2 linked regions of the Sus scrofa genome follow. The protein of the gene in region 2 interacts with the protein of the main gene of each other region in a pairwise test. Links are inferred from orthologs where the notes say so. Each region holds a gene or a part of one and is shown on either strand. Other genes may lie near its edges.

The links. The genes of interacting proteins can lie anywhere in the genome.
Region 1: the proteins of ARFIP2 (region 2) and ARF3 interact in a two-hybrid assay, tested with the Homo sapiens proteins (2 studies listed by BioGRID and IntAct). The link is inferred for Sus scrofa from reciprocal best matches to the Homo sapiens genes ARFIP2 and ARF3.

What each region holds. Positions count from the first base shown.
Region 1 is NC_010447.5:14,988,349-14,995,568, reverse strand, and holds the start of ARF3 (ADP-ribosylation factor 3), read left to right. Parts: upstream 1-2,552; 5' UTR 2,553-2,804; intron 2,805-7,220.
Region 2 is NC_010451.4:3,247,610-3,254,818, forward strand, and holds the start of ARFIP2 (arfaptin-2), read left to right. Parts: upstream 1-2,401; 5' UTR 2,402-2,556; intron 2,557-3,344; 5' UTR 3,345-3,386; coding exon 3,387-3,485; intron 3,486-3,740; coding exon 3,741-3,837; intron 3,838-4,556; coding exon 4,557-4,675; intron 4,676-4,858; coding exon 4,859-5,080; intron 5,081-5,619; coding exon 5,620-5,777; intron 5,778-5,908; coding exon 5,909-6,083; intron 6,084-6,542; coding exon 6,543-6,698; 3' UTR 6,699-7,209. Other genes in the region: TIMM10B (mitochondrial import inner membrane translocase subunit Tim10 B), read right to left, coding at 1,551-1,727, 1,924-2,019, 2,221-2,259. UniProt on the Homo sapiens protein: Plays a role in constitutive metalloproteinase (MMP) secretion from the trans Golgi network. May have important functions during vesicle biogenesis at certain cargo subdomains, which could be predominantly utilized by secreted MMPs, such as MMP7 and MMP2.

The sequences.
Region 1 (7,220 bases), on a different chromosome or scaffold from region 2:
CCTCCCCACCCCTGCTCCCGGCACACGCGCTGGGCTCAGGCCCAGGCCTGGGGTCAGTGACGGGAGTGGGAGTGTGCAACCCACAGAGCGGGTGGCTAAAATTTCAGCTTTTACTGAGCTCCAGTGGCAGCCAGAGGGAGGGAGAAAGACTGAGGAACTGTAAGTCAGGCTTCTTGGCTTCCTTCAGCTCTGGCCCAGCTCTTCTCCCCTTAGCCTTTCAAGTAGCAGGGAAGCTGGAGGGTGGCTGGCTCATTGCCAGTTGGGAAGCACCCCTCCTGTCTGTGCTCCTGTTTGCTCCGTGGGAAGCACCCAGTAATGCTGCAACAGACACTTTCCTCTCCAGACTCCAAAAGAATCAGGGACAGAAGGGCCTCGAGATTCTCCAGGTTCCATTCATCAGTTCTGACTCAAATACCATGGTACTGACGGCTAACCATATTCGACCGTTACCATTCCATCCTTCCGTCACACTTGGGACCCAACCTTGAGAAGATCTGAGGTCTTCAGAAGGAACACTGACAGGTGTCACGTCCTGTTGGAGTTCCACAAGGCAATGCTGGTACTGCTGAGACACTAGCAAGGGCCGTTGCAAAGCCTTCATTTTGGTGATCAGTGTGTGGGCATAATCTGGTGGGGTGTGCCTAGAAGATTCTAGAGAAAGGGATGGAAAGAGTAAGCATGTGGAGGTATCAAAGGGCCCACTCTAGGAGTCTCTAATCACCCTGGAGGAGTCTTCTGCCATTTAAAACACAGAGCTTAGGAGGGAAAAGGCCCTTAATGGCGACAGCCCAGGACAGATACAGCTCTCTTTGTCACAAACATGCTCTTTGTTGTCCGCCTCATCCTTCAGTATTTTAAATTCAGGTCTTCTTGGCGTCGCATTCTAGGGTTGTGTTCTTCTCCGGGTTAAAATACAAGAGAAAAGAAAGTGGGATATGAGGAAGGGACTGGCGAATGCATACACAAGGGATTCATGGGGACAAGGGGTAGACATAGTTTAGCTATCGACCAGTCTAGTTCTTCTTGGAAGGAGACAAGAAACAAGGCAAAAAAAAAAAAAAAAAATCCAGAAAAGCAACAATTTTGGCTCAAGCTTTAGGGAAGAGCCATGTGTTCCCATATACAGATGGTCCCAACTTACAATGGCTCAACTTATAATTTTTTTACTTTACAATCATGCAAAAGTGATACGCATTGAGTAGAAACCATAATTTAAATCTTGCATTTTGATCTTTTCCCAGGCTAGCAAAATGCGGTAGGATATTCTCTTGAGATGCTGGGCAGTGGCAGTGAGCTGTAGCTCCCAGTCGGCCATGCTGTCACAAGCGTAAAGAACTGACACACTTACAACCATTCTGTGCCCATACAACCATTCTGCTTTTCACTTTTAGTATTCAACAGATTACATAAGATATTCAACACTTTATTACAAAACAGGCTTTGTGTTAGATTGTTCTTCCAAACTATAGGCTAGCGTAAGTGTTCTGAACATGTTTAAGGCAGGCTAGGCTGCTATGATGTTTGGTAGATTAGGCATAAATTCGTTTTCAGCTTAAAGATATTTTCAATCTATGATGGGTTTTATTGGGATGCAACCCCGTTGTAAGCTGAGAAAGGTCTGAACTGCCGTAAATGAGGACAGAGGGCACATCAAGAACCTTCTTCTGGGAGTTCCCTGGTGGCTCCAGGGGTTAAGGACCCGGTGTGGTCACTGCTGTGGCTCAGATTACTGCCGTGGCCTGGGTTCAATTCTTGGGCCAGGAACCTCTGCATGCCATGGACGTGCTGTACCCCATACCCGCCAAAAAAAAGAACCTTCTTCTGTTCTTTAGTATTACTAGTACCCTTCTTGTATCACAGCTGTAGCTGTTCCAAGGTAGCTTTGCATGTCTAGACCAGGTGCAGAAATGGTGTGAGGAAAGTGGGGGTGGGCAGGAATAGAGAAACGTGGGTGCAGGATCCCTCACTATCCTTATAATGTTAAAACTCATATTCATCTGAAATACTTCCTCAAACCACATCTCTGAATATGACGCCTCAACTGTCATTCAAGTTCCAGCTTCCCAACTGGCCCAGCGTCCAGTTGTTTCCTTCAATCTCTTAAATTCATCACTCTCCTCCTTCCCAATGTAAAAAATCTCTTGATTCTGACCCCGGGGTAACCTAGTGCTAGTAGTGAGTAGCAACACTGGTGCAGCGAGGGCTCTCAGGGCGTGCACCTACCTCTGGTTAAGAAATACAGAAATCTGAAGGGGTAAGGGCCAAAGCAAGGGCTGTTCAATCATACTCTGCTCCTTCCGGACTTCCAAGGAGCCCCAGTCTCCAGTGTACCCACTATCCGGCCCGTCTTTAAATTCCAAGCACCGCCCTGGGGCTTGGGATTCTCACCTCTGTCCCCACTGCCTCACCCCCATTCCGTAGCTCCCGCCTCCTCCACCCGCAGATTCCAGCCCCCATTTCGGCCCCCTCCCGGACTCCAGCTCCAACACCCGGCTGCCACTGCTGCAGCCGCTGCCATGGTGATGGATCTCGCGAGAACTGCCGCTCACCGCCGCGCAACTCTCGCGCGATCGGGGAGGTGGGAAGTATCCCGGCCTGGGGGTGGGGGTGCGGCGCACAGCTCCTGTCGCCGTCGCGGCTTCCGGTGCTAGGTGGTGGGAAGGAAGGAGGGAGCTGGGAGCGGGGCCAGGGGAGCAGCAGCGCTGAAATCGGCTGAGGGAGCCGGAGAGAGTGGAGCGAGAGCCGAGCGGAACCCGCGGGGGCGGAGGCGGCGGCCGCAGCGGCAGAGCTGCGAGCAGGAACAGGTGAGGGGCTGAGGAGAGAAGGCGGGTCCGGGTAGAGGAGAGGCTCGGGGTGGTGGCTGAGAGGATAGAGCAACCCCCCCTCCCGTCCCCAAGCTCGCACGGCCGTGCCTGGCATCGGACGGTGGGGTCCTTCCCACCCGAGAGCTCGGAGAGGGGCCGCTGGGCCATCCTCACGCCTGCCCCCGCATTTGAAGGACGCGGAGCTGGGGTGGGGGTGGGGGGCGCACACGGATTTGTCCTCCGTCTCGCACAAGGGGGCGACCTGGGCTGCAGTTAGGTTCCCCTCGCCTGCAGGAGGTGGGCTTTTGAGGGGTTGGGGCTGAGGGGGAGGAGAGCAGTCCAGGGAGAGGTGACGTGGGGGCGGTGATGGTTGTTTTATATCCTTTTCCTATTAAAGGGCTAGAGAATGTCGCTTTTTTCCTGCCCCCGCTCCTCCTCCACCTTAGTAATGGATCAGAGAGAAGCTTGCCATGGTGACACCTCCTCCCCCCACATCATGGGGCAGGGGTGCATAGGGGGTTTAGGGATTAGCCGGGAACGCAGGCTCGTGGGCACCGCAGGGGCACTGTTCTGGTAGAGATTGTGCTTTCGGGTCTTGGGAACCGCAGGTTGGGAAGAGGGCAGCAGGTGAGGAGCAGGAGGGGAGGCGGCAGGGAAGGGGGAGGGGGATCTGATCTTGGTTGGAGAAGAGAGGTGGTGCCTTCCTCCCCCAGGCGAAGCGGGGGCGGTCTCACAGGAGGAGGGAGCATCTTGTCGCTGGCTCTGAGTTTGTGTCTTCCAATCCGCTTTCTTTCTTTAGGAAGTACCAGGATTCCCGGAACAGAAAATGGAGCCATTGCTTACACCAGTGCTTGAGGGAGGAAGGGGGGGAGTGGAATTCCCTGTTAAAACGAACCACTTGATGAGCAAAGTGGTAGCTCCTCGTCTGGGGGAGTTCCCTTCTTTCTGGGTTGTATTACTGCCAGTCTCCCTCTGGCCAGGCCAGGGGGAGTGTGGTATGTGGTCAGGAGTGAGAAGAAATAGTGAGGTCATCGGGTGAGGGAGAAGTGTAACTTAAAACCTGTCTCTGCCGCCGTTGATTGGGTCATCCCTGGTCTTTGGCATGAAAGTTTTATTTGATAGGAGATCTGCTGCAGGAGTCTGATTGCTTGGGTCAGTGCAGCAGAACAGAATCTAGTCTCTGCCTATTTCCTTCCCTGTCCCTTATCAGGTGGTGACAATCTTTGCTGCCATTTTGTCTGGAGCTTGTTGTTGGAGCAGGCGTCTCCACTTACTATGACTGGAATGGGTCAGTGAATTGGTCATTGTACATTAGACGTGAGTTTGAATAACATGTCTTTAAAAGCTCATTCTGAGAAAGAAGCTGATCCGTTGAGTTCACCTTTTCAGAGAATGAATCATTGACCTTTGATTCAGCTGGAAAGGGTTCTTATGTATCACGTATTCACATGCCTCTGGTCTCCTAGCATAGAGTTATTAGCTTGTTTAGTCAAAATTCTTTTGAGTATGTCTTGCTTTTCCAAAGAGAAGAAGCTTTTTGAGTGTAGGAGTTGGATGCCATTTTGTACTTCCCATACTACTTGTGCACAGTAGGCACTCAGGATGTAAATGAGTAAAACTCAGGTTTTCTGACCACAGTTTAATGAAAGAGAAAGAGGTGGCCTGGCCATCAGGGAGAGTGCCCGAAGATAGCTGAATGAGGGCATAAAGGTCCTTAGCTTTTGTAATTTAGAGTCCTTGGTCTGTCCATCTTCCTAAGAAGCCCAGAACAACCATGGATAATGAAGCGAAGACGCAAAAAGAAAAATATTAGGAATTCCTGTCGTGGCACAGTGGTTAACGAATCCAACTAGGAACCATGAGGTTGCGGGTTCGATCCCTGGCCTTGCTCAGTGGGTTAAGGATTCTGCATTGTCGTGAGCTGTGGTGTAGGTCGCAGACGCAGCTCGGGTCCCACGTTGCTGTGGCTGTGGTGTAGGCCAGTGGCTGCAGTTCCAATTGGACCCCTAGCCTGGGAACCTCCATATGCTGTAGGTGCGGCCCTAGAAAAAGGCAAAAAGACAAAAAAAAAAAAATATTAGAACACAGAGTTATTATTTATCTGAAATCTCAGATATCCTGCTTCCCCATTGTGGGCAAGGGAGTCTCTCTATCAGATCTAAGTCCTTCAGAGTGTCATCTACAAATTGGGATCCTGGTGATTAGGGAGAAAGGAGCCAGCGTATGTCCAAGGTGCCAGTGAATGGTAGCCATTATTATTAAACTGAATTCAAGTGTTAAGGAGGGCAGACAGCAGGTTGGCAGGAGTGGAAGTGAAGTCTTAAGTGCACAAAAGGTCTTACTGTGTGTGTTCATCTCTGCTACTCTTTTCCATTGGAGTCACAATAGAGGAAATGGACTCAGGACAGTGGGTGGGAGTTGCTGGTTCGTGGAGGAAGTCCTTTAAAACTAGGACTGTTAAAGCTGAGTCAGTAACTGAGGGACATTGTGGAATCTGCTTCCCCATATACCTTTAGAAACAGAGACCAAGAGGCCTGAGACTTGAAACATATCACTGTGTTTGGCTCGCCTCACCGTTCTTTAACAACTCGAGGTATAATTGATTTACAATATTGTGTTTGTTTCAGGCGTACAGCATAAATCCCTTCACCAATTTCGTTGCAGGTGAATTAAGACGCAAAATGGTGTGGTAATTGATTAAGTGTGGACCTTGGAACCAGACAAAATTAGGTTCAAATGGTGTGGTAATTGATTAAGTGTGGACCTTGGAACCAGACAAAATTAGGTTCAAATCCTGCCTCTGCTAATTTCTAGTTGTATGATTTTAGCGAAATTATCTATCCTCTCTGCGTCATTTTCTTTGTCTGTAAAGAGCGAGATAATGTTGGCCTGAGATTAAATGAGATAATACAGGAGTTCCTGTTGTGGCTCAGTGGGTTAAGAACCCGACTAGCATCCATGAGGATGCAGGTTTGATCCCTGGCCTCGTTCAGTGGGTTAAGGATCCGGCGTTGCCACAAGCTTCGGTGTAGGTCTCAGGTGTGACTTGGATCAGGTGTTGCTGTGGCTGTGGTGTAGACCTACAGCTTCAGCTCCGATTGGCCTCCTAGCCTGGGAACTTCCATATGCCGCAGGTGCAGCGGTAAAAAGAAAAAAAACTGAGGCAATACATGTAAAACACTTAGTATTATACAAAGTACATAGTAAGCCCCAAGTAAATGTCAACTGCTATTAATAATAATCATCATAATAGCAATAATAACATGAGCACTCAGGGCTGCCTTGAAGAAGAGGAGGTCTACAAAAGAACAACTTGCCGCCTGAAGTGCTTGTGTAGAAGGATGATTGTTACCGTGACTCTCTGTGTTAGTCGTAGGCTCATGAGCAATGAAATCTTTTTTCAGCATCAGCCTCACAGAGGCAGCTCCTGTTGCCTGAGTGGGAGGTAAAGCTGGAGCAAGGCAGGGTCCCTGAACCAGCAACTTGGATGTAGGGTGAGGCTGTGGGGGCTCAAGAATAGCATTCATGTTAGAAAAATCAGAATGACTCTGAAGTAACGGTTGACTCTTCTAAAAAAGAGCACCCTGATCGACCTAGGTTGGGCATTTAGATTTGTGGGTCCCAGAGTTCTCTTGTGGCACAGCAGGTTAAGGATCTGGTGTTGTCACTGCAGCCGCTTGGGTCGCTGCTGTGGCACAGGTTTGATCCCTGGCCCGGGAACTTCCATATGCTATAGTCGTGGCCAGAAAAAAAGAAAGAAAGAGCGAGTTCCCATTGTGGCTCAGTGGTTAACAAACCCAACTAGGAGCCATGAGGTTGCGGGTTCGATCCCTGGCCTTGCTCAGTGGGTTAAGGATTCAGCGTTGCCCTGAGCTGTGGTATTAGGTCACAGATGTGGCTCGGATCTGGTGTTGCTGTGGCTCTGGTGTCGGCCGGTCTGTGGCTACCGCTCCGATTAGACCCCTAGCCTGGGAGCCTTCATATGCCGAGGGTACGGGCCCAGAAAAAGACAAAAAAAGAAAATTGATTCCTGGGTCCCCTTATTTTAGATTTCAGTCAGTATTTCAGCATCCTCCATTTCCTGGGCCAGTCTTTTCACTTAGTCATATCTCCTTTAAATGTCTGCCTCTGTTTGAGAACATACTGTGTTCAAGTCCAGAGTTCTGGTATCTGTACTTCTGTCTACTATCCTTTTTATGACATCTGTTGCAAATATAGGTAGAGTGTTAATGAAGCCTCTTGATTTTTTTTTTTTTTTTTTTTTTTGTCTTTTCTAGGGCCGCACCTGTGGCATCTGGAGGCTCCCAGGCTAGGGGTCTATTCAGAGCTGTAGCCGACAGCCTACGCCAGAGCCACAGCAACGTAGGATCCGAGCCGCATCTTCGACCTACACTACAGCTCACGGCAACACTGGAT
Region 2 (7,209 bases):
GGTATAGCAAAGAGAACGACACCAGGCTAGCATAGTTCCCTTAAAGAGATATACTTTAAGTATATCGTAAAGTCAGATCTGCCTTTTGAGAGTCTGCTACCAGAAGAATTCAATATCCTGACCTGTATAGGGGGAGAAAACAACTGTTTTGTGGGTGGTTTCAAGTTTTTTGAAAAAGTACTACTGTGGAAACCAACCAAGCTTTTGTCTAAAAGCTCCCATTTCCATTATAAAAACGAAGCATGATCACCGAAGGGGGAATAGCTGAGGGTGAGGTGGGGGGTTAGGGAGAGCAGTGAAGGTGTAAACAGCTGCCATGGTGATGAGAAGAGCAAACAGACCAGGAACCCTCCAAATGCTATTTGTTGGTAGAGCTTGGTTGCAGCTGGGACTGGGAATATTTAGTGGCATTCACTACACAGCTGTGTTTTCCTCTAGCTGTGTGAATGGAGGACCAGAAAAGTTAAAACAGCTGGACTGGGAGTTCCCTGGTGGCCGAGCAGTTAAGAACTCGGCATTGTCACTGCTGTGGCTTCAGTTTGATCCCTGGCCTGGGAACTTCTGCATGCCATGGCATGGCCAAAAAATAAATAATAATAAGTAAAACAGGTGGAATGATACAAAAAGGACACAAGGGCAGCAAAAAAATTCAGGGATGGAGTGACATGCCACTGAGACTGCTGAATACAGAGGTAAACTCCACAAGGGAGGCAATAATGAGGAAAGAATGGAGAGGCTGGAATTAGAAACCATGGGATAGGCACAGCTGGGACAATGCAGAGTAGGGGGCAGGGCTGGAATTAGGAGATCACAGGCGAGCAGTGAGACAAGAGCGTAACATCCAAAAGCTTTTCCTTTCTTCTGTTTTTTTTTTTTTTTTTTTTTTTTTTTTGTCCCCTTAGCCACCACCCTCTACTTCTGTGGTTTTCTCTCCCTTGAGTCTGACTATAGTGCAGAACATGGCTCCCCAAGTTTTCCCCTGACTGCTCCTGAAGACGAGCACACAGACCTCCTCGGTTTAAAGGATTTACTGCTCAATTTCTGGGAGTATTAAGAAAGTAACAACTTGGGGGAGTGGTTAACGTTCTAGAACACCCAGAAGTCCTATAGGTTTCATCTGTCTGGGGCTACTGACTTTCGAAGAGGTAGTGCCTAAAAGCCCTGTGGTTTCTTAATCCATGGTCCTTAATATCTCTAAGCGAACCATTTAAGTCAGACAGATTTAAGGACAGAGTTCCCATTTTCTCTGCCGTCTGGGCACGAACCAGCGTCTTGTTGCCAATTTTAAAGCTGTACCCACAGACCTTCCTTTAACCAGGTGCCTGGGAATGCTGAGGTTTTCCTTCCACACACAGAAGGCAACTTCTCCCTGCCCAGAATATCAACCGCACAGATTACAGCAGGTTTATTAGCTCCAGGAAAAGGAGCAACAGTACCTAGCTCTCAGGCAACTCCTCATTCTCTACATACAGGCTCCATCTTGCCCAAGGTCCACTGCTCCTTCAACGTGAGGGTCCATCCAGTGCCTCCCTTCTCAGCGTTGAGGACAGCTAGCTGCCAGATGGCGAGGCTTCTGGCTGTTCAGCAGCAACACCTGGCACAGCTGAGGCAGCCTCGTAGTCAGCGATGCGGCGCTGTACCAGGGCAGGCATGAGCTGCACGTAAGCGGCCATGAGGCGGTGGTTGGAATGGATCAGCTTCCCGGCACAGCTGTGCAGACAGGCCTCCTGGAAGGAAGACAGGGTGGAAGTAGAAGCCAAAGGTGTCCAGTCAGGTCCGTTTCCCTCCTTCCCATCCCCAGCCTCAGGGCGGAGGTCGTGGGAAGCCAGGGCCGGACGTAGGGGAATTGACGGGAGAGGGAAGCAGTGCACGGTTAGCTCTGAGGCTCGAGGAGCACTTCCCTACTCAGTTCCCCCACCTAACCTCCTCGGCATCCAGAGCTCGGTGATGCAGGCTGGGCACGCAGCGCTGGAAGCAGAGTTCCGTCATCCGATTGTAGACCAACAGGAAGTCCCGCAACTGGGGAGGAAGGGGGACAAGGAACTCAGCGAAGAGGGGGCCACGTCTCAACTCAAGGCCGCGCTGCCGGCGCTTTCCCAGGACCGTGTACCACGGCCCGTGGTTCCCAGCCCTTGGATGCCTGGCTCTCTGGGGTTTCCGCCATGCGAACAGGGATGCTAGCTGGATGCAGGGCCCTTAAGCGACTTAGCTCCCACTCACGTTTCTCAGCTGCTGCTGCTGCTGCTGTTGCTGTTCCATCACGCCGCCGGCGCACAACCTACGTCACTTCCGTTACAGCTTCTAGGGAACGCCCCGGAAGTGACCTCAATGGCTCCCCAGGGGCAGAGGGGTTGGCTCAAGGAGCGCCCGCCCACCTCCCCGCGACGTCACTTCCGCCCTCATAATCGGCTACGTGGCCGGCTTCTTCTGCCCGGGAGAGGACGTCACTTCCGCCGAGTCCCTGACCTGCTGCTAGGATCGCGACGGGAACTGGATCCCGAGATCCCCGCGCGGCCCGGGCCTGGCGCCCTGAGGGGAAGAGCGGCCCGGCCCGAGGTGAGAGGGACGTGCATGGGCGAGGGCAAGGTGAACGCACGAACCTGACCTGAGGGCAAGATGCTTCTGAGCCCTGGGAAAGGATGAGGACACACCTGACGCCCAGGTGTATGGGGGGAGGGCGGAGACTCACACACCTGGGGAGACCTAACTGACTTTGGAAGGGATCACCTCCCTATGTCCTGGGGCAAAGGGACTTTTCCCCGGGGTCGGGAACTTACACCAACTGATTCAACTAAGGCCTGGGGCGGGGGTGGGGGCAGGAAGAGGGGGTGCATGGGATGGAGGAGGGGGAGACCACCTGCAGGAAAGAGGAGGAGACATTAGAGGAGTGTGAAAGGCCAAACAATGGCGAACATACCTGAACGGGGATAGGCACCTGAGCGCTGGGAAAGGGATTGTCTCCTGATGAGGAGGAATACCTGCGTGGGGATAAGCTGCTTGAGAGCACAGGCTTTCTCTCCATTGCCTCAAATAGTGCGTGGCATGTAGTAGGCACTCATTAAATGTCTGTGGAAGGACTGAATGCATGAATGATCCCTGGACTGCTGGGGGGGTGGGGGTGGGGGGGTCATGAGAACATGACCTCTGGTCAGGCACACCTGAGGCCTGGGTGCCTGTGTGTAAAACTTTGCACCTTGGAAGGGAGAAAGACAAAGCCCCGAGGGAAGAGTGGTGGGCAGACCCCACCACACTGAAGCCCCGGGACGGCCTCTGCAAGGGCAGGGGAGACCTTCCTCTTCGGAGAACTGGCCCGTTTCCAGAACTGTCTGTGTTGGGCTTTGCAGGGCGCTGGGGTGGAGACTTTGACTCCAGTCCCTTCGCTCGCCATGACGGACGGGATCCTAGGGAAGGCAGCCACAATGGAGATCCCCATCCACGGGAATGGTGACGCGGGGCAGCTTCCTGAGGATGATGGGCTGGAGCAGGTGCTTCTGTTTGATTCTTCACATTGTTTCAGTTGAGGAATCCCAACTCTTAAACCCTGAGCTCTCTCCTTCTTCCAGTAGCCTTCCCCCAACTCACCTGATTTCCTTCAGTCTTTTTACCAATCTTTGTTCTGATTCTGTGCAGACTTCCCTTGTGTGCTCTCTCTATGATGCTTCAATCCAAGCTTGTTTTCACCCCCAAAATGCTTCAGCTGCCCATATGTTCCTGAAGCCCCCCTCTTCTCTGGCCTATAGGACCTCCAGCAGGTGATGGTGTCAGGACCCAACCTCAATGAAACCAGCATTGTGTCTGGTGGCTATGGGGGCTCTGGTGATGGACTCATCCCCACAGGTATGAATGATCAGAGCAGGATAGGGCATTGAGTGGAGAGGGGAAGAGGACTGGCTCCAGGGGGCATAGGATACGTCTAAGAAGGCGTGAATCATGTCTGGAGCTCGTGGGAACCTCTGCCAGGATGAACCCGCGGGCATCTCAGCCCAAGGCCCGTTCCCAGGGGTGTCCATCTGCCTCCACTTGCCACTTTGTCCCTCAGATATGCCCACTTGTCCCTTCTCTGCCGTCACTACCTGAGTCAGGCAGAGAACTCTGTTCACCAGGCCTCCCCTGCTCTGGAGCTTGAATCTGATTTGGAGCTTTGAGAGGCTTATCAGAGTCTTACGTTAGACTCTGCTATTTAGAGGAACAAGCAGCCCTGAATCTCGCAGTGACTGGGATCCACATGGGAATGTCAGCCAGGTGTTCGGTTCGAGGGGCGCCCAGCCATGGTCAGCGACCCCATTCTCAGCCTAGTCTCCGCTGTTTCCTCTGCCCCTGCACACGAGCAACCCCTCCCACCTCCCTTTCCAGTCCTCACCTCCACGTCAAAAGGAGGCCAGGTGTATGTTGGGATTGGGTCTCAGGGTCCAAGGCATGAATTCCTCCTAGTGAGTCTCCAGCCCTGCTCCTTCCGGGGCGTCATTTTCATGTGCTGGGAGGGAAGTGTGGGTGGAACCACAGAGGCGTCGGATTGTGTCTGAGAGAGGCTGGTGTCAGAGAACTTGGTCCTTTAGGGTCTGGCCGCCATCCATCTCACAGCGCCCCTCCTGCTGGCCCCGGGGATGAGGTGGCCCGGGGCATCGCTGGAGAGAAGTTCGACATCGTCAAGAAATGGGGCATCAACACGTATAAGGTGGGATTCACGCACCTCCTCCGCCCCCTGAGCTCCCCCGGGTACCTCTTCCCCATCTTGCGGATCCTCCTGTCCCATCATCTCGGGCTGAGACTTGGAGTCTGGGGACGCCGGGGTAGACACTTGCTGCGGGGCAGGGCCGGGCGCCAGGGTCTCTGACCTGTTCCCCCACTTCCCACTCAGTGCACAAAGCAGCTGTTATCAGAGCGGTTTGGCCGAGGCTCCCGGACTGTGGACCTGGAGCTAGAGCTGCAAATTGAGCTGCTGCGTGAGACGAAGCGCAAGTATGAGAGTGTCCTGCAGCTGGGCCGGGCCCTGACAGCCCACCTCTACAGCCTGCTGCAGACCCAGCATGCACTGGGGGATGCCTTTGCTGACCTCAGCCAGAAGTCCCCAGAGCTTCAGGTGCCTTGGGCAGGCCAGAGGGGGAGGGGGGCCTGGGCCCGGGGCCCTCCCAGGCAGTCACCCCTCAGCCTCCCTCCTCCCTCCCTCCTGCAGCCCAGAGGGAGAACCCCTCCAGGGTGGGCCCAGCCCCGCCCCCAGCAGCACTCACCAGTGGAGGCAGCCTAAGGGTTTGTACGGAGGTCCAGAAGTCGGAGGGGGTGGGGGAGGCGGCACACTAGGTGCCTCGCAAATAGCCCTTCTCGGCCTCGGCGAGAATGCCTTCGGTGCCCAGCCTCATCGGAGCCGCTCCCTTGCCTGCTGCACTGGCTTGCCCTCTTCCAGTCCCGTGAACTCCGAGAGCCCCGCTCCCACGTTCCTGCCCTAGGCATCCCCAGGGGGGGCCCACGACCCTTCTGGCTAAGAGAGCCTTGCTGGAGGCCGCCCTGGGTGGCTCCAGTTCAGTGGCTGTTTCCTCCGGGGGAAGGAGGGCAGGAAGGGCCCCGCAGCTCTGGTCAGGTGGAGGCCGTTGCTCAAGGCCGGTCCCTGCCTTCTGCCCTCAGGAGGAATTTGGCTACAACGCCGAGACGCAGAAGCTGCTGTGCAAAAACGGGGAGACACTGCTGGGGGCCGTGAACTTCTTTGTCTCCAGCATCAACACGTTGGTGACCAAGACCATGGAAGACACGCTCATGACTGTCAAACAGTATGAGGCTGCCAGGTGTGGGCACTGGCAGGGCCCAGGGGTTGGGGAGGTGGCCGGCATGAGCGGAAGTCTGAGCTTTAGGGGCACGAGCACGGAGAAGGGAAAGGATGGATGGTGGAGACCAGCCTCTCTCACCCCCTCCTCAGGCTGGAATACGATGCCTACCGGACAGACCTAGAGGAGCTGAGCCTAGGCCCCCGCGATGCAGGGACGCGTGGTCGACTCGAGAGTGCCCAGGCCACTTTCCAGGCCCATCGGGACAAATACGAGAAGCTGCGGGGAGATGTGGCCATCAAGCTCAAGTTCCTGGAAGAAAACAAGGTGCTAACCCCACTCCTTTGACCCAGCCCCCCCTCCCTCTTTGACCCAGCCCCCCTCCCCCCAAAGACCGGCCCATCGTTGAATGAAAGTGTAACCTGGCTAAGGAGTGGGGTCTTCCCCCAGCCCACTCAACCCCTGGACCCCTCCTAGCACCCTCCCCCTGATCCCCAGCCCTTTTCTAGTGGACGATGTGGCTGCCAGTCCAGGAACAAAATTGGGAAAAAAATCAGCCCTGGAGCTGGGATGCCAGAGCCCCCTAGGCCCGGCCAGTCAAGCCAGGTTTCTCCTAGCAGAGTGGCTCTTACTCTTTGAGTCCCTTGTCGAAGCTCGGCCCCCACTTCTAAAGCACCCTGGGCGCGGAGTCCACGTCCCCCCCCCCCCCCGCCCCGGTCCAGGCTCAGGCTTACAGCCCCTTGGGGGCGGGTGAGCCCAGTCTCGGTGACCTTACTGGGCCCCCAGATCAAGGTGATGCACAAGCAGCTGCTGCTCTTCCACAACGCTGTGTCGGCCTACTTTGCGGGGAACCAGAAACAGCTGGAGCAGACCCTGCAGCAGTTCAACATCAAGCTGCGGCCTCCGGGCGCTGAGAAGCCCTCCTGGCTAGAGGAGCAGTGAGCCGCTCCAGCCCAGCCTGGCCATCAAGAAGGACATTGAGGGGGCAGGCCCAGGGTGGGGGAGATTTGGACCTGGGACATCCCTTGCCACCTGCCCTCTGGCTTGGGTTCCCTTTCCCTGGCTGGGGCCTGACGCCAGTTTTACCCACACTGCTGTGGGTAGGGAGGGGCTTGCAGGCCCAGCGGCTGCTACCCTGTTCTGTACTTCCTGGCCCCTGGGCTTCATTCCCAGATCTTTTCCTTCCACTCCACAGCCAAAGGCTGTGACAAAACCACTCCCTGGCCAACGGCATCACTCCTCAGGCCGATCCCCAGCTCCTGGGGGGTGCCCCCTGACCAATGGCAGGGCCTCAAAAGGCCCTGTCAGCCAATGGCAGCTCTTCTCAGGCTCCCCTGGGCCAATGATGTTGCCTCCAGTACCCTTTGTCCCTCCTCGATGCGTGCCCATTGCAGAGAAGGGGACTGGGACCAAAGGGGTGGGGATGGGGGAGCCCTCTTTCCGGCCCTGTATC